Linked DNA regions of Oryzias latipes. The protein of the gene in region 1 purifies or fractionates together with the protein of each later gene. This does not show direct contact. Links are inferred from orthologs where the notes say so. Each region holds a gene or a part of one and is shown in the gene's direction. Other genes may lie near its edges. The genes, in order: cluap1, ift57, ift46 and ift27.

The links.
Region 2: the proteins of cluap1 (region 1) and ift57 purify together in Homo sapiens (affinity purification with mass spectrometry; 4 studies listed by BioGRID and IntAct, counting the BioPlex papers as one, with this or other methods). This does not show direct contact. The link is inferred for Oryzias latipes from reciprocal best matches to the Homo sapiens genes CLUAP1 and IFT57.
Region 3: the proteins of cluap1 (region 1) and ift46 purify together in Homo sapiens (affinity purification with mass spectrometry; 3 studies listed by BioGRID and IntAct, with this or other methods). This does not show direct contact. The link is inferred for Oryzias latipes from reciprocal best matches to the Homo sapiens genes CLUAP1 and IFT46.
Region 4: the proteins of cluap1 (region 1) and ift27 purify together in Homo sapiens (affinity purification with mass spectrometry; 3 studies listed by BioGRID and IntAct, with this or other methods). This does not show direct contact. The link is inferred for Oryzias latipes from reciprocal best matches to the Homo sapiens genes CLUAP1 and IFT27.

The regions. Positions count from the first base shown.
Region 1 is NC_019862.2:10,331,088-10,335,495, forward strand, and holds the end of cluap1 (clusterin-associated protein 1), read left to right. Parts: intron 1-35; coding exon 36-119; intron 120-238; coding exon 239-372; intron 373-484; coding exon 485-626; intron 627-904; coding exon 905-977; intron 978-1,062; coding exon 1,063-1,173; intron 1,174-2,224; coding exon 2,225-2,274; intron 2,275-3,019; coding exon 3,020-3,196; 3' UTR 3,197-3,484; downstream 3,485-4,408. UniProt on the Homo sapiens protein: Required for cilia biogenesis. Appears to function within the multiple intraflagellar transport complex B (IFT-B). Key regulator of hedgehog signaling.
Region 2 is NC_019875.2:10,101,203-10,106,412, reverse strand, and holds the start of ift57 (intraflagellar transport protein 57 homolog), read left to right. Parts: upstream 1-1,792; 5' UTR 1,793-2,169; coding exon 2,170-2,303; intron 2,304-2,716; coding exon 2,717-2,891; intron 2,892-3,003; coding exon 3,004-3,122; intron 3,123-3,816; coding exon 3,817-3,907; intron 3,908-4,035; coding exon 4,036-4,104; intron 4,105-5,040; coding exon 5,041-5,163; intron 5,164-5,210. UniProt on the Homo sapiens protein: Required for the formation of cilia. Plays an indirect role in sonic hedgehog signaling, cilia being required for all activity of the hedgehog pathway.
Region 3 is NC_019876.2:248,840-253,965, reverse strand, and holds the start of ift46 (intraflagellar transport protein 46 homolog), read left to right. Parts: upstream 1-1,811; 5' UTR 1,812-1,939; coding exon 1,940-2,053; intron 2,054-3,169; exon of another isoform or gene 3,170-3,303; coding exon 3,304-3,599; intron 3,600-3,659; coding exon 3,660-3,753; intron 3,754-4,125; coding exon 4,126-4,257; intron 4,258-5,126. Other genes in the region: sodium/hydrogen exchanger 9B2, read left to right, coding at 333-418. UniProt on the Homo sapiens protein: Forms part of a complex involved in intraflagellar transport (IFT), the bi-directional movement of particles required for the assembly, maintenance and functioning of primary cilia. May play a role in chondrocyte maturation and skeletogenesis.
Region 4 is NC_019859.2:24,930,825-24,935,987, forward strand, and holds the start of ift27 (intraflagellar transport protein 27 homolog), read left to right. Parts: upstream 1-1,846; 5' UTR 1,847-2,002; coding exon 2,003-2,033; intron 2,034-2,343; coding exon 2,344-2,408; intron 2,409-5,163. Other genes in the region: syngr1 (synaptogyrin-1), read right to left, coding at 878-982. UniProt on the Homo sapiens protein: Small GTPase-like component of the intraflagellar transport (IFT) complex B that promotes the exit of the BBSome complex from cilia via its interaction with ARL6. Not involved in entry of the BBSome complex into cilium. Prevents aggregation of GTP-free ARL6.

The DNA.
Region 1 (4,408 bases):
TAACGATTAAGATCATTTGTGCTTCTTTCTCACAGGAAAGGAGAACTGTCGCCATCGCGCGACCCCTCGACATAAATGAAACCGAAAAGGCCCTGAGAGCTGCCACCAAGGACGTTTTGGTTAGTGGACGTATTTTCTGAAACAAATTTTCTTTTTCCTCGTCCGCTTACACTATTTAAAACAAAAGCATTTCATCAGCTGTGTTCACTTTTTCAGTTTTTTTTCTTCTGTTTTCTAGGAAAATGTGGCTAAAACAAAAGACATGTTGAACAATGTTGTGTCTGATGAAGCCAGTTTAGATGCCAAGATAGAAAGGAAGAAACAGGATCTGGAGAGGCATCAAAAGAGGCTCCAGACCCTGCAGAGTGTCAGGTCTGCGGTGTGATGAAGAGCACAGATACTAGAAGAGAAATGACAGATTCTTTTATTTACCAAATGCAGCCTGTTTTATAGAAGGATAATTGTTCTTCCTTTTCTCCTTCAGGCCAGCATTCATGGATGAATATGAGAAGATAGAAGAGGAGCTGAAGAAGCAATATGACCTTTACGAGAAGAAATTCCGAAACCTCAGCTTTCTGGAGTCTCAGCTGGAGGAACACCACAGACTAGAAAAGGAAAGGTTTGAGGTACGGATATAGAAGCACTGAGGGCTTCTCATTAGTTTCTTTTAAATTGAGTTTTTGATTAATAATAAACATTTCAAATATGTTTGCCTCAGTCAAATGTGACACTGTCTCTTTAATGCTAGAAAACCAGAATATATTTTTTTCTTCCATTACTTTTTTAGACAAAGATAATAAAAGCAAAAGATAACTGTTCTTTGAGTGCAGAAGGATCTGTTTTTTTCTGCAGAAAATGATTAAAAGTGCTTCACTTTCCATGGTCTGTGTCGCCTCTTTTGTAGGAAGCTGAAAACACTCTGAGGATAATGCAGCACAAACTGAGAGAGGAGAAACTTGACCTGATGAGGGGCTCCTGTGAGATCAAACACACACTTTAAGCAAAGTCCCATGTCCCAAATATCTTTAGCTCAAAGCAGTTTCTTGATTATTTCTTCTGAAGTGACAAATGAAGACTCTGACTTGGGCGTCATTGAGGATGAAGGTTCCGACAGCGACCTTGAAGAATCTCGGCCTTCAAAGCCGCGGCCCATGAGAAACGGCCTCATGACTGGTAAGCAGACAGCTTGAAGAAGAACATAATCTCTCAACGTGTACATAGTAAACCAACCTTAAAAAAGGAGAAAAAAGCGTTCATTTAGGTTTTCTCAAAGGAAAACTTGGATTCTAAAACTTGGTTGAACTGCTAAATGTCAAAGAGACTGTACCCCATGATCCCAGCTCCCACAGTGCAAAAAGTATACACCAACCACCAAAAGAGTACAGGTTGTCTGTTAATAACAAAGCCATTCGCACTCTATTGCCTTATATTTTATAGTTTTAACCTTTGATTGAGCTTAAGCGTAATTGAGCTTTGAAGCAGGAGAAGTGGAGCCTTTCAATTGCAGAAAAAAACTTTATGAAAACTAAGATGATGACATATATAAAGAGACCTTAGAACTGTGAGCAGAAAGGAAATTTTCTCTATTATTTTAAGCATTAAAAAAATCTCTGTTTAAAGTGTTCCTCTGTGCTTTACACAGAATGTGTTTAGAGATAGTTTTGACCATCTTTACCATTATCAGTTCACTTTTAAGTTGTGTCTGAATTCCTTCACTACTCACTATTTATTGCACTAAAGAGTGCGATAAATCACCATTTTGTGAGCTGTCCGAAAACAATTCCAAAATTCAGTGCCCTTTGGAAGTCTCTGCAAAAAACTAGTGTGCATCAATGCTCACTAGATTGGCAAATGTAGACCACAATGCATTGCATTTGAATGTTTTTTTTCATGTGAAAAAACATATTCAAATTCATTTTTTATAAATCATTCAAGTCTTTTTTAGCAGAACCCAGTGGATTCATAAATAGTATTTGTAAAGAAGAATTTCTGGAAATTGATGATGTCACATTTGCCGTTTAAAAGAAACACATGAGGATGATGTCCGAACTGTTTTTAAAATCCAGTCCCACACTATATGGATGCTATGGAGTAGTGAGGGAATTTGGACCTTGTCTTAAAGTTATTTAATCCCAAAATTTAAAGCTAAAACGTAAAAAAAAAAATCCAGAAAATCCATGAAACTCTGGTTCTCAAAAATGCTTTTTTTTTCTTTTCCAACAAGGGAGAGGAGGACTTTTTATTGGTAACATGCAGGGTGGTGACAGCGATGAGGTTAGTGATGTTCTTACTCACATTGCTTCCTTCATATTCATTCCATGGGCTGAGACTTCCAACATTCAAAGGATTTATCGCTTTTTGCCTTTTGCAACTTTTGATGGTAATTCAACTTTACCTGATGTCCAGTTATCCTGTGTTTTCTGCTGACCTCACCACTTAGTCTTTTTTCATTAATGTTTACTCATATCTCATAAGGTATTTTTACCAGTGTCCAAAACATCAGTCCCTCAGTTCAAAAAACACCCGAAAGGAAAGGTTTGTGCAAGACAAACGCCCACTTTATGTTTTTTTTCCAGCTCCTTGTGTATTTGAAGGAAAAATCAATCCTCAAAGTAAATGTTGGGAAATATTTATACTACTTACAGAAGTTAAAAATGTCAGTAATATTCATTGAACATGCTTTGCAGACAAGAGCTTGAATAAGAGAAAAGGTGCTGTCGCATTTTTTCCATAAAACATCAGAGTATCATCAGAACGAGCTGCACCAACACTTCTCACTTTTGAGCTAAAGGTGGATTTTTCCTTTAAATGACTTGAGTTTTCTGTTCACGCTAAAAGGCTAGTGTGTCCTGTCTAAAGTAGTGGAAACATTTGACCTGGTTATGTGTTTAGCTAAATAATCAAAGCATAGATTCCCATGTGATTCTACAGCCTGTGTGCAGAACCCGTCGAGTTTCTCCTGTTAGATTTGACTGCTCAGAACAGACTATTGCTCATGACTTTATCCCTGTTAATCTAGACTGATGACAGTGAAATCGATGTGGACGACGACGATGATGAGGAAGATGAGGAAAGAGAGGAGGAGAGCAAGGATTTGGAGGATGATAGTTTCGAAGGTCCCATGTCTAGAAACAACCGTCCTTCAATTGGAGCAGTGAGGCCTGCTCTGCTGGATGAAAGTGATAATGACTTTTAAGAAAAGAGCTCACCAAATTCTATAATTTGTCTGTTTCTAACTTGTATTTTAAGTTGGACCATGATATCAGCTTATCTCAAACGTATAAACATTGTTATTTACAGCATATATGTGGAGTGAAAATAGCCTCAACGGATTTGAGACTATTTTCTCTTCACTTTATGATGTAGCTCTTGTTTTTGACTGTATGAACTATCAAAATCCCTAACTGCATAGTAGTTTTGTTGTCTGTTTGTAATTCTTAAATTATTTTAAAGCCTTTTAATACATAAAAAAATAAAGAAATGGTTGATGTTTCCTTTTATGATGGAAAAGTAAAAAGCCTTTATCTAATTATTTGTTGTACTTATTATAGACATTGTCTATTTTTTTGTTTTGTGCCCACTACAATAGACACAGAAAGACTTAATTATTAATATTTCCAAAACGTTTTGACTTAAATCAGTGTGAATACAGTTTTTTTTTTTTTACAAATTTATTACCGATAAGTATAAACGCAATTACAAAACATGAATGAGTGCAAGTTTTTTTTTTCCCCAGATGCTTATTGTAAATATCAGGTAAAGTCCAAAGATATCAATATACATTGTACATTAATGCAAACTTATAAATAAAGAATGACATAAAATGAAATGCCAGTAAGAATAAATAAAAGTACAGAATGAGTGTGTAAAACAATGTTTGACATAACATTACAATTTTTTTTAAAACAATTTTATTTTGTAAAATAAAGGACGTTTTAAAACTTTTTGAAAAAGTAATTTATTTAGCAAAAATGTATTTAAAAAAAATAATTGAGATTTAGTTGGAAAATGTACATTTATACATGTAAAAATTAGAGTGGAAAAATTTGATTAAAACTTAACTCCTGTTGATGGAAACCAAACAATATACGTTTTAAGCAAAGAAAAGGGGACCATACATTTCTTTGTAACTAAAGATAATATCACAGAAAATTTGCCAAAAAGATTTTAGTGGGTTTAATTATACGTTTTTTGCAGGATAACATCGATTGCAGAAAAATATTTTTTTTGTTTGTTTTTTCTTTTTTTTGTCAGGAAGTACTTTAAAAATGTATTAAAAATTTGTAGAATACAGTAAAAAAAATTATAACAATACATTATAAGAATAGATTGCTTAAAATGTCCACTAAAAACGACCTAGCTTCGTGACGTCATCATCGTGCGCGACGATCGCAGGGAGGAGGTAGCG
Region 2 (5,210 bases), on another chromosome or scaffold:
CATGGAAGTGTTCGCTATGACCTGTTGCTCGGATCATGGCCTTAGAAAAAAACGTGTATGAACACTTTCAATCTAGAATCTTAAAATCTGCGTACAGGTTTGCTCGTATCCACCCGTAAAGACGGCGGTGACTAAGGCCTTCGCTCTGCACAGATTGAACTAACATTTGGGCTCCAACACTTTCACCCTGAATGTGAGCGGGACATTGTGGCGAGCCGCTCCTCAAAACTGTGCATGATTGTTTCTGCAGATTCACCTGAGGTTTGGTGTCTGTGCGACCGACTGCATAGAGTCACTGTAACTGAAGGAACTTCTTACCCTTTTTTTCCCCTGCATGTTCTGAAGTCCCCCCCCCCCGACTGTGAAAGTGTCCTTTTGTTTTAAATGTCAGATCTTTCTCTCAGAACTACTGCAGTGAGCATCTACAGGTTCAGAGCTGTGCTTTGAAGCAGATGGAAGTGGGAGCAGCGGCAGGACGCCTCCTCCACTCCTGCGTTCGCTCGCGTGTTCTGTCACGCGTGAACACTAAAGCTATTACTGTTTGTACCTCTTCAGAGGATTATTTCCTACATTTTGTCTCCAGATGCAGAAGATGTTTTTAAAAGGAGGAAAGACATGAAGAGACTTTTCCATTTGAGAAACGTCTCACTGAAAGGACGTCGGGCCTCTTCAGCCTGACGCAGAGACGCTCTCCGTGACAAGTGTTACTCATCTTACTGTGTCAATAAAGTTCTGCAAGTTAAACGCTGTATGATGAACAAATGTGTTTCTACTTAAAAACACCGAAGTTAAAGGTTTGAACTCCTTACAAACTTATTGGCAAACTGACAAACACCCACAATCCATTATAGGAAAAACTTTTTTGGGGAATTGTTTTGGAATTTAATTAGATTATGAGGTTCTGTGCAAAAACGAAACACCCCCCCCCCCCCCCCCAAAAAAAAAAAAACCATATGCATTTAATTGTAAAGGAATTTAATCAAAGTTTAAAGGTGACATTATCTGTTTATTATCTTTTATCTATATGTAGAGATTTTGCTTCCTTTAAAAAAAAGAATTCCATTTAATTTTGCTTTCGTACCTTTTTTCTTTTTGTCAATAAGTGTATTAAAAAAGAAACAAGCACAATGATGGGTGTTATACTGTAATGATTATGCACCCCGTCAACCTTTTTCTAAAAGAAATCTTCAAAATAAATGTGAAAATAAAAAAGTTTGTCCAAAAAATATGTACCCAAAATTATGACAGTATTGGTCAAAATTATAAGGAAAGAAAAACACAGACACCCTGTTGGCAAAAAAAAAACCCAAAAAACGTATTTAATAATAATGCCTGAGCAGCATCATAAAACATTAAAGAAAAAATCAATTTAATCTGAAAATATCTTAATTCCAATGTCCTTGTAAATTTACAGCTGACCCTTCAGTTTCAAAATACCTTACATTTTAAGTTCCTTCTACATACCTAAAAAAAATGAAGTAGTTTTAACGGGTTTTTTTGGAATTTTTTTTCCCCACTATCAGCAGGTTGTTAAACATTTGTATTTTCATTTTGCTCCTTTCACTTTAGAATAACAGAAAGATGATGCACTTTAACTTTAAGCCTTTTAGATGGCTCCATGCACTGTTGGACATAAATTACCTTCTTTTTTAATCTGAGATTAAGATAGTACAATCAAAATAACAGTAGAATTTCTTGCATGGTGTATTTGTGTACAAATGCCTCAGTAAATGCAAAAAGGATATTTTCATTTTAAGAACAAAATCCCAGTCCCAATATTCAGGTCCCTCTCCCGCCCTCTAGGGGGCGATGTTTGACTCTATATTCTAGCAGAAGAAGAGATCAAACTCAAGTTAGCAAACAAATCTACCAAGTTTCTTATGCTAAGGACGGAGCCCTCGAACTTGGTCACACCCATTCTGTTTTCCAGACAGTTTGAATGTTGTTTTGTTGCTGTTGAGCAAATTCTCAATGCGCATATTTAAAGTTTAAAGGGAGGAAAAAGAAATACGTGTTAAGAAAAGGGCTACTTAGCTTTCGGTTGCTAGGCAACGGGCCTACAGTCAACCTGAGCTAGCAGAGCAGCGTGTGCTAATCGAACAAACAAGGCCCCAGAAAACATTTATTTTTTTAGTGGATTTTAAAGCGGTTTGAAAAGTAGCTGGGCTCATGGCAGAGGAGGATGAGCGGGGCCCGGGAGCCGCTCACCGGATGGTGTCGGTGATGGAGGGACTGTTAGAAAAGCTCGACGCTCTGAACTACGAGGAGCTTCTGGACAAACACAACATGAAGAAAGTGTGCAGGTCAGGAACGAAACGAGCCAAATGACGGGTTTAAGCTGAATTTCAGCTCCCTGAAGACGACGTTTTGAAGCAGAACACGATAAGAAGCAGTGATGATATCTGCCGGAACAGAGCTAATAGAACAGAACCTGAGCTGGACCGTCGATTGTGTTAAATGAAAAAAACAAAGACAAAAGTTGAAAACAGCTTTGATCACATTTTGTACTTTTCCCGAGCACTAAATCTTTATTTTTATACAATTTTAAATCAATTTTAAATACACTTAAGAAAATAGCAGTAAGTCTACAAATAAATGCCTAAAGTGTAATACATCTTTCCAGACTGCTTATTATTGAAGTTGTCTTCCTAAATGTGTTTCATTTCAAACATGATCTGATCTTGTGATTCATGTATCTTCTTCCTTCTCTTCCCAGGCACTACTTTGTCTCCAACTCCCACCTGTCCTCCAATCCGGGTGAGCAGTTTTACATGTTCACCATCATCGCTGCCTGGCTCATCAACGTGGCAGGGAGGCCGTTCACCGAACCCCGGGAGCACGACGAGCCCAACGCCACCGTGTCCAACATCCTGGCGGAGCTGAGAGCCTTTGTGAGCTGCTGTTTCACATGCAGATGATCCAATATGTCCCTTTCTGTGTGACTTAGACTCTGATCTCAGATGTGTGAGGACGACCTCTGACTGTGACCCTGGTGGGTTTCAGGGCGTAAAGGTGGACTTCCCTCCCTCCAAATTGAAGACGGGCTCAGGCGAGCACGTCTGCTTGGTGTTGGACCGACTGGCCGACGAGGCTTTGAAGAGGAGAAACTTCTCCTTCAAAAGGTGCTTCTGCTCTGCTTTACGCTGGGACATCTTTTGGGCCAGACACGGGTTCTAGGCTGGTACTGGAGCCAGTTCAAGACTGGAATGAATGAAGCAGTTTTACAGCTGCAAGGTTGGAGTGTCTTTCTTCTTGGGTCCCAACAATACCGGTTGTGGTCAGAAGTCAGTTTGGTTAAGTTCAGGCCGCCACACCTTAAAGATCTCCGATTAAAATTGTGTTTGTGGTGTTTTTAATGTTTTGTGGCATTTTTCTCATTATAGAAGACCTATATGAAGAAAGTAAAGCATAAAATGACCTTCCTGAAGCTGCAATATGGCTCCCCATATTTTGTTGTACCGGTGATGTTAGGTTGGGGATGTGAGGGACTGTAAGCTAGTGGAAGAGAGTGTAAAACAAAGGGATGATGGGAAATGAGGACAGGCTTTCTCTGCCCCAATAGTCCCCCCCACAACTTAAAGGTGTATTTCTAATGAACTGTTGCTGCTCTGCAGAAACGATATCCTAGTAAAGGACACTTTTTTTTTTTTAATTTTGGCTAAAATCTGCACCATCATAATTAAAAAAACACTGGGGGACACTTTTACAGTACATCAGATAGATCACTGTGGTGGGACTTTACAGATTTGACAACAGCGAGGCCTCACTGGCTGCTCCAGTTTGAGATGAAGTGTTCTTCTCCCTCCTCCCCTTTAGGCCAGATTACCCGTCAGAAACCCCGGAGGAAGAGTCGATGCTGGAGGACGATGCAGAAGTCACACTCAGCACAGCAGAGGAGGAAATATTGGTCAGCACTTCACAGAGAAAAATGCTGACAGCTTATTTCAACGCCGCTTTTGCAAAAACTGGTGTCCTTTTTGTTTTTCATTCTTGTATTTGATTTTTTAAAAGATTGTTTTCTAATTGTGACTTCAGGAGGAAGATGAGGATGAGGAGGAAATTGCGATGGATCTGGAGTCTCTGAAGTTGCGGAACTTCCACAATGTGAGAAAAACTTGTCTTTATACAGACAAGAGAGAGCACTCCCATTGACTGTAGATGAGAGCTGGACTGAGTGACTCCGCCCCCCCCCCCCCCCCCCCTCGCGTTCCTAATAGGAAGGACCCGCTGGCTCCAAGAAGCCAAAGACTTCCATCGATAAATAAACAACTCTTACTCAGTCATTCTATGTGTCAGGATGACCATTATTGCTCTGATACCTTTTTAATATGTTCTTCATAATCCAAATTTTTTCCCTCTGATATTTCTTCTATGATTCAATTTATTCAAGTTATAAACCGACCAATCAGGTGCCTCAATAAAAGCATGTGTCCTGACATTGAACGTTCAAAACGTTTGACAGATTCTCCCGAGCCGGCTTTAAAGTGCTAGGGGTGTGGACTTCCACAAGCTCACTCCTGATTGGCGAGAGTGGTTGCCATAGAAATGATGACTTTGATCGATTCGGTCCTACCACTCTGACGTCCTTTGGTTTCAACGTGGCGGCATCCGTTATGCAAAAAAAAAAAGGCGACTGAATTGACTTCTTTTGGTTGGGGCTGGAAGTGAGGCATTTTCTACCACAGGGGTGGGCAATTCCAGGCCTCGAGGGCCGGTGTGTCTGCATGATTTCAAGATAGCCTTTCCCTACTCATGGCTGATTACCTGGTTCAGGTGTGTCCAGCCAATAATCTTGCCCTACTCATGACTGATTACCTGGTTCAGGTGTGTCCAGCCAATTAGAACATGCCAGAGCAGGGTATGCTGGAAAACATGCAGGAATGCGGCCCTCAGTGCCCACCTCTGTTCTACCAGGTGGCTCATAGAAAGACGTCTCACTAGCTTAGTCCAGTTCTCACACACTCAATGGTCAGATCCTTCACAGAGGCTGTTCCTCTCAGAGAGGAGTCGAGCTCTTAAACCAGACCTACTGTCTGACAGGAACCAGAACTGTCATCCAAACCCGAGGAGATCTTGGAGGCGACTGTGGATGCTGCAGAGTGGAACCTGGAGGTGGAGAGAGTCATACCACACCTGAAAGTCACCATCAGGAACGACAATAAGGTTCAAACGGAGGATTTCTATCTACTAGCTGTCAGCGCTGAGGCCAG
Region 3 (5,126 bases), on another chromosome or scaffold:
TTAGCACCATCAGATGGTTCTGCAGAACCAACGAGGCGTTTTGGTTCCAGAGTCCAGCCTCCAGGTGGAAATGCTGCCATCTACTGGTTGGTCTGAGGATCTCAGTGGACTCAGTGTGACGCTGAGTCATGGTTCCCTCAGTCTGCAAAGTGAGGTCCATCCTGGAGAGAACCTCAGACTCCATCTGGGATGATTTCGGTCCAGAACATTCATCAGTTCAGTCTTCATGAACCCAGCAGGTTCTGAACTCCAGAACCACAGAGATGTCCTCAGAGTCAAAATGTCGTTTCTCCGTCTGTCCCGTCCAACTCTTCTGTTTTGAATCTGTGCAGACGAGGCCGACGGGGAAGCCGGACCTTCCGGTCCCACCGAACCCGTCCAAGAGAAGGACAGCAGGATCCCGGAGAGCAGGCTGTGAAGCTCCATGGAGGAGCGGCGGCGCTGATTTCCCGCCATGACGCGGCGTTTGGATGAAGGATGAGGGACGTCTGTCTTTGCTTTGGTCCTCTAGTCCAAATGTTACAGATCTGACAAGGTTCTGGTTTTAAACAGAAGCATGTTTTTTTTTGGTGTTGAGTTTGAATTAAAGATCAAAGGAGCTGAATTCCAGCTGGTCCAAAGTGTGTTCTCCCTCTGTGTTGATGGTTCCTCAGCTGGGATCCTGTCCTGGTTCCAGTTCTTCACTCCGCTGTAGCGGGTTAAAGGTCATAGTCTCTGAGTCCGACAGGGAGACCACCTGTCCTCATGGCCCTCTGGACTCAGGGTTCTCTGGATTCAGGGTTCTCTGGATTCAGGGTTCTCTGGATTCAGGGTTCTCTGGACTCAGGGTTCTCTGGACTCAGGGTTCTCTGGATTCAGGGTTCTCTGGACTCAGGGTTCTCTGGATTCAGGGTTCTCTGGATTCAGGGTTCTCTGGATTCAGGGTTCTCTGGACTCAGGGTTCTCTGGACTCAGGGTTCTCTGGATTCAGGGATTTCTGGACTCAGGGTTCTCTGGACTCAGGGATTTCTGGACTCAGGGTTCTCTGGACTCAGGGTTCTCTGGACTCAGGGTTCTCTGGGGGTTCTTCTCAAAGTGGATTCTCTAATCAGCTGCAACATGTGAAGCAGAAATCATGACGAGATTCCAAATCTGTAGAAGTACATGAATGGAATGAACCAAAACGATGAAGTAAACTCAAACGCAGGTTTTTGTGGAGATTTGAAATCAGAGAAACAGATTGGAAGACTTTCCTCCTCTTCCTCCTATTCTCTCTGCAGACAGAAAGCTGTCAAATTCCTCCTGAAAAACTGTAATCTGATTACACTCCTCGACACGTTCATCAGTTTAGCGATAGAATCAAATGTCAAATTCAGACAAAAATGACATTTAAATAAGTATCATTTATCTTCCACCACTGCAAAATCTAAAACCACGTTTTTATTGTTGGAAAACAGATTTTTACTGACATGATGGTGGAAACATTGATGGAAAATTTTCATTGAGCTGTTTGAGGTTCTATTTGAGGTTCTGTTTGAGGTTCTGCTTGAGGTTCTGCTTGAGGTTCTGCCAATGAACTGGAGGATCTGTTTGGGTTCTTCCACACAGTTAGCTAAACACAGATTGTAGTTCTTATGGATTTAAACTACAAAGGATTTATTTTACTTCATTCATTTCCTCAAATATTTAAATAAAACTCTTTTATTTCAAAAGTTTAAACATTTCTAGTGTGAAAATGCTGAATAAACTGAAATCTTTTCATTAAAAAACAGTTTTTTTACTGGAATTCCACATTATAACTACATTACCCATAATGCCTTGTGGGATCCGTTGCCAGGATACTGTCGGTATTTCCGGTAACCCTCAGAAACAAACGCGTAACGGTGCTAACGTTAGCTTAGCCGTTCTTCGGAACCGAACCGGCGCTCAGAGGTTCTGCAGGTAAGCCCGGACCGGGTCCATGGACCGGGCCAGAGGGCCCAGACTGCTGCGGAACCAGCCGTACGACGAGAGCCTGGAGGCGGACGGAGAGGAGCGGAGCCTCCGCAGCCCGGAGCCCGGAGGACCGCGGCAGGTAGGAGGCCGGAACCGGGGTCCAGTTAGGGCCCGAGAATTTGGAAGGACTGTTGCCATGGCAACAGCTGCAAGACGCAGCAGCATGTGGGGGTGGGGGCGTGAAGAGGTTCTGCATCAAAGTTCTCGGTGTAGGTACCACACCGGTTCTACGCTGACTAACACACACACACACACACACACACCCACACACACACACACACACACACACACACACACACACACGCGCGAGGCATCCTTTTAACATTTTTTATAACATTTTACACAACATGAATGCATTTTCTAGACTCATATTACGGGGGGGGGGTCAAACTCAGTCCCACTGGGGGCCTAAATCCAGAACACTCTGGGTTTTGGTAAAACTCTGGTAACCCTTAAATAACGTTTAATATTTTGCTCTCCATAAAAACATATTCTGTCAAAATTATGCAAACATGAAGATGCTGCAGAACAAAACAAACAAACCTGGAAATATTAATAATAAGAAATAACAAATCACGTCTTTCCGTTTTCTTTGCTCCTTTATCATTTTTTAGAGCTGGACTCCTGCATCATTTTAGCATTAATTTCTTGGTGTGTGTCGTTCTGTGTGTGTCTTTGTGAAACACATCAGAGGGATTGGATAAAAAACAAATTACTGTGAATATTATTTTTAGCTCTTATAAAACATTAAAAACTAAAACATAGAACTCATCAGTGGGATTACTCCAAAAATATTTAGCATTTCCCTCATTTTGTGCGACATCAACAGTAGAAATCCTCCAAAAACCTCAGTCCATAAAAATGATCTCTAGTTTATTGATGATCTGATAAAGTGCAGCTGTTCTCCTGCTGCCTGTCTGTCAGATACTGACACCAGCTGAATAATAAACCATAGTCAGTAAATAATGACATTATTAACAGCTGCTGACTGATCAACAGCACGCCATGATGCAGGTGTTGCGTAATCGCATTTCTCGCAGCCTGCACCCACTACCCCTCCCCTTTGCCTTCTCTAAGACAGGAGCGCAGAACTGCAGGGGGGGGGGGGGGGGGACCTGGTTCCAGGCTGTTTCAAAGTCTGTGAAATAACAGATGATAGCAAACCGACAGAGGCACAATTTACTTTTCTTCCAAGCAGGAGGAGGCTTTTATTGTGAAAGAACCCAGACACCAAAGCCAGAACCAAGTCCAGTTTCTGCATCCGTGACCGCCCCCCCTGTTGGTTCTTAACGGTTCAGAACCTTTCAGACCCGGTTCTGCTCCTCTCAGTCAGAGCTGGGGGCTCGGCGGCGGGTCCGCAGCCTGATGTCGGCCCGCAGCAGCAGCGACGAGTTTGACGAGGAGCCGCGGCCCCAGAGGGCCACAGAGCCGGCAGCCAGGTCCCACCCGGGGGCCAGTCCCAACGAGGAGGAAGAGGAGGAAGAGGAGGAGGAGGAGTCCGACTCTGAGGACTCTGATGAGGATGAAGACGATGAGTCCTCGCAGGCTCTGGAGTACGACCCGGCGGACTACGCCAACCTGCCCGTCAGCACCGACATCAAGGAGCTGTTCCAGTACATCACACGGTAGGGCCTCCCCACGTGCACGGTCTACACACGTGCACGCTCTGACCTTCGTCTCCTCAGGTACACTCCTCAGAGCTTCGATCTGGAGCTCCGCCTCAAACCCTTCATCCCAGACTTCATCCCGGCTGTGGGCGACATCGACGCCTTCCTGAAGGTACAAACACTCCCACGGTCCAGACGGTTCTGGTTCTGTTCTGTCTGACGGCACCCTGCTCTGCCATCTTCTGTTGGTCAGTGATCCAGGTGATTAGCCATGGGTGGAGCCAGAGGATCTGGTTAAGCCCCTCCCCTAAGGCCACCGAAGTTTGAGTTCTAGTGGTTCCGGTTGTTTCACTGACCCAGAGTCAGTAATAGTGTATGGACCCATGCAGACCATGATGTTCTGATCTGGTTTCAGTTCCTCCTGAACCAGCAGTTCCAATCTGCTGAGAAAGAAGTAGTTGTTCAGAACCAGAACCAGAACTGGAGCAGAACCACGACCCAGCCCAGCTGGGCCCCTCTAAGAATGTGCTTGTGTGGCGTTCAGGTCCCCCGTCCAGATGGGAAACCAGACTCTCTGGGTCTTCTGGTTCTTGATGAACCCAGTGTGAAACAGTCAGACCCAACGGTTCTGTCGCTGTGGCTGTCCGAAGAGAGCAAGCAACACGGAAGTGCTCAGGTACACACACCTGCTGGGAAACACACACCTGCAGACACACACCTGCAGACACACACCTGCAGACACACACCTGCAGGCACACACCTGCAGACACACACCTGCAGGCACACACACACACCTGTAAACACACACACCTGCAGACACACACCTGCAGACACACACCTGCAGGCACACACCTGCAGACACACACACACCTGTAGACACACACACCTGCAGACGCACACCTGTAGACACACACCTGCAGACACACACCTGCAGACACACACGCACCTGTAGACACACACACCTGCAGACACACACTTGTAGACACACACCTGTAGACACACACACACCTTTAGACACACACCTGTAGACACACACACACACCTGTAGACACACACACACCTGTAGACACACACCTGTAGACACACACACACCTGTAGACACACACACACCTGTAGACACACACCTGTAGACACACACACACCTGTAGACACACACACACCTGTAGACACACACCTGTAGACACACACAAACCTGTAGACACACACCTGTAGACACACACACACCTATAGACACACACACCTGTAGACACACACCTGTAGACACACACATGCAGACACACACCTGTAGACACACACACACCTGTAGACACACACACACCTGAAGACACACCTGTAGACACACACACACCTGTAGACACACACACCTGCAGACGCACACCTGCAGACATACACACACCTGTAGACACACACCTGCAGACACACACCTGCAGACACACACATGTAGACACACACACACCTGTGTAGACACACACACACCTGTGTAGACACACACACACCTGTAGACACAAACCTGCAGACACACACCTGCAGACACACACACCTGTA
Region 4 (5,163 bases), on another chromosome or scaffold:
TGTAAAAAGAGCAGAAAAACAAGTTTTCCTCTTTCTGTTCCCTTTCTTTTTTCAAGTATAAGATCGTGTGTATTTTTTGTTTTATGGATATGAAAAGAAGTTTTAAATAGGCATTTTAAAGACACACAGTGTACTAATGACTAAATCTGAGTTTATTTGGAAATTCAGCATCAATTTGGGATAGAATGCTCACATCATTTTAGAGACTATTGTCAAGAGTGGCTAAAAAGATTTTTTTCTTCTCTTGTCTCACTAAACACCTTTGTCATTGTAGATAACATTTTATTATAAACACAATGGACTTAAGGCTTTCTTGGGCCCAGATTAAGCTCCTGTCTGTGATGTTTATTTGAGCACACAAGCTGATTTTTCACAATAGTTATTTAAATGAGTTTGGGTTTATTTATTATCACATTTTAAGTACACCAAATATGGTCAATTAAAACTTGGTTTCCCATTAAAGGTAAGAACTTCCCCTACAGTATTAAACGTTTGAATGTGGAAACGTGTTGAATATGCCTCATAATTATAGCCTACTTTTTTAAATGTTGCTTCCTGTGCGGATAAAAACAGTCAAGAGAACTTTTATTGTGAAATCCTTTTAAATAGTTTCACCCTAAACTGTTTTTTAACAAATTATTATATATAAAAAAAGATACATTAATTGCTGATTTGTGAACAGACAAGATACCCAGTGATTACATTAAATGATGATAATCACTAAATTTAAATTCAAATGATAATTTCCAAAAATATAAATAAAGTTGTAAAGCAGTTTATGCATATTTGTTTTCGTTAATAAAGAAAACAGCAAATATGGTAAAGAAGTAGTACTTATACTATTTAAGTTGTGGCCTCTGCAGGACTGCTTTCTTACCCAAGACACTATGCGGAGAATGGTCTGTGGCTGCTGGAGGAAGGTGACAGGGTCGAAGGCTCCTCCGCCGGCTTTCCCGGCTCCGTATGCCTGCATCCCCTCCATTGTCCTCCTCCTCTCTTGACAGCCGCCACTGAGATGCTCTTCCTCTCCCCACTTCCACTTCAAAGACACGGCGTGTGCGTGGAGCACCGACGCGAAACCACAAAAACAAATAGATCCACCGCTCAGCTACTGCAGCCACTAGTACTACAAGTCCTGCGTCTGCCTGCAAGGAGGGATTAGTTTCTGTCGCGGAGGCTCTGCTCTCCACTCCTGTTTCTGCGTTCAGATAAACCTCTAAATTGGCTGTTGTTAGGTCGAGTGTGGACGGAGGAAGCCGGTGTTTTGGTGATGCTGTCAGTGTTGTAGCCAGTGGCACCCACGTGAACGCGCCTCGCTTATCACGCCTCACAGTGTGCTTGTTGAATTGCGCTGGAGCGCGCACTCAGATCAAAACAGCGCAAAAAAGTCGACACGGACACGCGCTGGAGCTCACGAGATCTTTGTGTCACGCGCTTCGCTATTCATCTCACATAATGAACAGTATACATTCCTCAATAAATATTGTTGGTCATGTTTAACTAAAGAAATATGTCTGTTTTAGAAAAAAATGCATGCAATTTAAGCCAATAAAGGTATGTTGAAGTTCTAACAATTCTGCCCCCTTGTGGCCATTCTTCACTTTTATTCCTATTTACTTAGGTTTAAATAAAAATTTCCTTTACTTTCACATTTTATACAATAGTGTTTGACGGAAATTATTGCAAACTGTAATTATGATGTATAGGTAGGTTGTTCCTGGTTCAAGTATCTTTGCCTGACAGACCTTACTCTGGGGAATAATGCTCTATCAACAGTATTTATTCTCAGCCAACGAGTGCACAGATTTTTCGGTTACGTTGCAGCTAACTAACCAATAAGCGCCACTGTGGCTGGTTGCTGGGAGACGAATTTAATCCATGTTGCTGAGTCGAATGGCAGAATGTATATAAAATAGCGCTAATCCCCCTCAGAAATTTAGCTAAATTTAGCCTTATAAGTAAGATAATACGATATTACTGACAGTTTTTATCCAATGCAATAATGAAATTGAGGGCCAAATGCCTGCTTGTTGGTAAGTTTGTAACTTTTCTGCGATGTAAACGAAACAGGCTAATGCTAATTAAAAAGAGTTGACACTGCTTTAGGGTAAAAAGGCAGCTAAAGAGTGTTAAGGACTAGCAGATATGTGTTATATCTTGCAGACTCTTTGCTTGGTTCTGTGTGCGGGAAGGAAACAGTCTGGTTAAGTTTAATGTGTTTATTGTGTGATGGATGTTTCGCTAGCATGCGCACTGACTCAGTTAAGAAGCTTCTAGAATAATACTACAGCCCCTTTCCTCCCTGAATGTCCTCATTCCTTGTGTTTTTGTCTGTGTGTGAAGGTGATGCCGCTGTGGGAAAAAGCTCTCTCATCTGCAGTGATGGAACTCTGAAGAACTATAGTATGGTATGACGAGGGTTTCATTTAACTAACTAGTGTTTCGTTCTGTTACCCTGAGGCAAATGCAGGGGGCTTCTCATATTACTTTCAATGTGGGGTGTTTAGTGGAACATGCTTTGGCCCAAAGAACTCTTTTATATTATTACGTCTCAGTCAATAGAAGTGGTTATTAGCTGGTTTAGTGAGGATTTTACAAATCTGGTTGGGTGGGTGTAAGGATTCATTTTAACAACAAATCGATTCATATGATAATTTTTGGTTGACATTCTGATTCTTAGTCGATTTTGGTTCATTTTGAAGATCCGATTTGATCTGATTCACTGACCTAAAATCGATCTGAGGCATCTTTAGCCAAAAATTCAACCAGTGCCACTAATAAATATATATCTTTCATTATAATCAAGTTTAAATTAAAAACAAACAAGTGAACAAGAATTTATGGCAAATCCATTCATATTTTAGCCCCATAAAGTTCAGCCCACTGTTGTTTTTCCAAATTAAAATAATGCAAAGGGAACATTATAAGAGCATTCATCCACACTTCAAAGTGTTTTCACACATTGGACTGGAATGATGGACTGATCATTTTTTGCTGCCATCATATGTGATTAGATTGTGTTTCTTTTCTTTTCTTTTTTGTAAAATAGAACAAGACAGATACACTATTATTTGTTAGTCTCTGGGAGCTTTCACACACTAATATTCCACCTTACTTGCTTTAATTTGCTTTTTACAGTCAGTACCATAAATATTTGGACAGAGACACCTTCTTTCTAATTTTGTTTCTGTACATTACAACAGTGAATTTTAAATAAGACAACTCAGATGCCATTGAAGTTCATACTTTCAGCTTTCATTCCATGGGTTGAACAAAATGATTGCATACAAATATGAAAAACTAAAGCATTTTTTAAACACAATCCCTTCATTTCATGGGCTTGTAAGTAATTGGACAAATGAAATAACTGAAAACAAAATGGTCATTACTAATATTTGGTTGAAAACCCTTTGTTGGCAATGACAGCCTGAAGGATTGAACTCATGGACATCACCAGATGCTGGGTTTTCTGCAGCGGCTTTCAGTTGCTGTTTGTTCGTGGGCCTTTCTGTCTGAAGTTTAGTCTCCAACAAGTGAAATGCATGCTTAATTGGGTTAAGATCAGGTGACTGACTTGGCCATTCAAGAAAATTCCACTTCTTTGCTTTAATAAACTCCTGAGTTGCTTTGGCTGTTTGTTTTGGGTCGTTGTCCATCTGCCCACAAACAAACAGCAACTGAAATATTAGTATTAGTAATGACGATTTTGTTTTCAGTTATTTCATTTGTCAAATTACTTACGAGCCCATGAAATGAAGGGATTGTGTTTAAAAAAATGCTTTAGTTTTTCACATTTTTATGCAAATATGTCCAAATATTTATGGCCCAGACTGTATATAATGCATGAAGCTACACTACGAATACTGACTATTTTACTACATTTTTTATCTTTTTTTTAAACTCTATATCCAAAATATTTAATGATGTATTATTAATTATTAATTCTATTAGACTGGATTGGATTAAAAAAAAAGCTTATATAAAAGGGGCAATGCAATTTCCTAAAACACAAACTAAAGGACGAGCTAAAAAGCGAGAATCAACCCATCCATCCATCTCCTGAATCTGCTCTACCCCTTTTGTGTCATGGGCCTGCTGGAGCCTGTCCCAGCTACTATTGAGAGAAGGTGGGGTCTAGCCAGAACAGGTCCCCAGTCTGTTGCAGAACATATGCACACGTGCAGATCTAAGGGCAATTCAGAGTCATCAATTAACCTGGGAAGCATGTTTTTGGACTGTAGGAGGAAGCCAGAGTTCCCAGAGAAAACCCACGCATGCTCAGGGAAAAATGCTAACTCCACACAGAAAGGTCCCAGCTGGGTTTGAACTAGGGCTAACTACTGCTCCACTGTGCAGCCCACACAATTAACCAGAAGGCTATTTTTCATCTTCAGTCCTCTGGCCTTGATGTTAACAAAGCAGTAAAATACAGTAATAGGTCAGCACAGATAAACAATTATTGGAGACATAAGATTAAGATAAAATTCAAGCTTCTATCTCAGTACAGCTATACATGCATTTAGGAACAATAGATACAACAAAGAAACGTACATAAAGAAAATAGTTCATGTCTAGAAATACAAAATCCAAGCAGGTTCAGGTTTAGTGTTGACGTGTGTGTGTGTGTGTGTGTTTAAGGCCTTGTTTAAAGTTCAGTGAAAGCTTTGTTTGTTGGTAAATGATTTGGTGTGGTATTAAGTTGCTCTCTCTAAAACCTCTCACAGTGCAGGCTGACTGACTTAAGGTACTTTTACGCAGAGGGATTAACACGGTCACCACACAGATCATCTGGTTACACGCTCACACGTGCTTCTTTGGCAAGAGCGGCTGGTGCTAAGTTATGTAGTAGATTCTAAATGTATTCATGTTATGCATGTAAATAAAGTTTTGTGATCCTCTTCATAATTCCCTTGCATTCACACTTCCTACTTTAAAGCAACCTCTATCTTTAGTTAATAACTGCTGTTTGTACGTGACTAGAATCTTGTGACACCACATCTTTCATATATTGGAATAGAGAAAGAGTGAAATAGTGAAAATGACTACAGCAGGATCTGTACTTAACATGTACTTAATAAGTCAATAAACCACATGGAGAAATGCAGTAAGTGCAGTTAGTCTGTCACTGGAAAAGCATGTTTATCCTTTCACGTTTTGTGATGC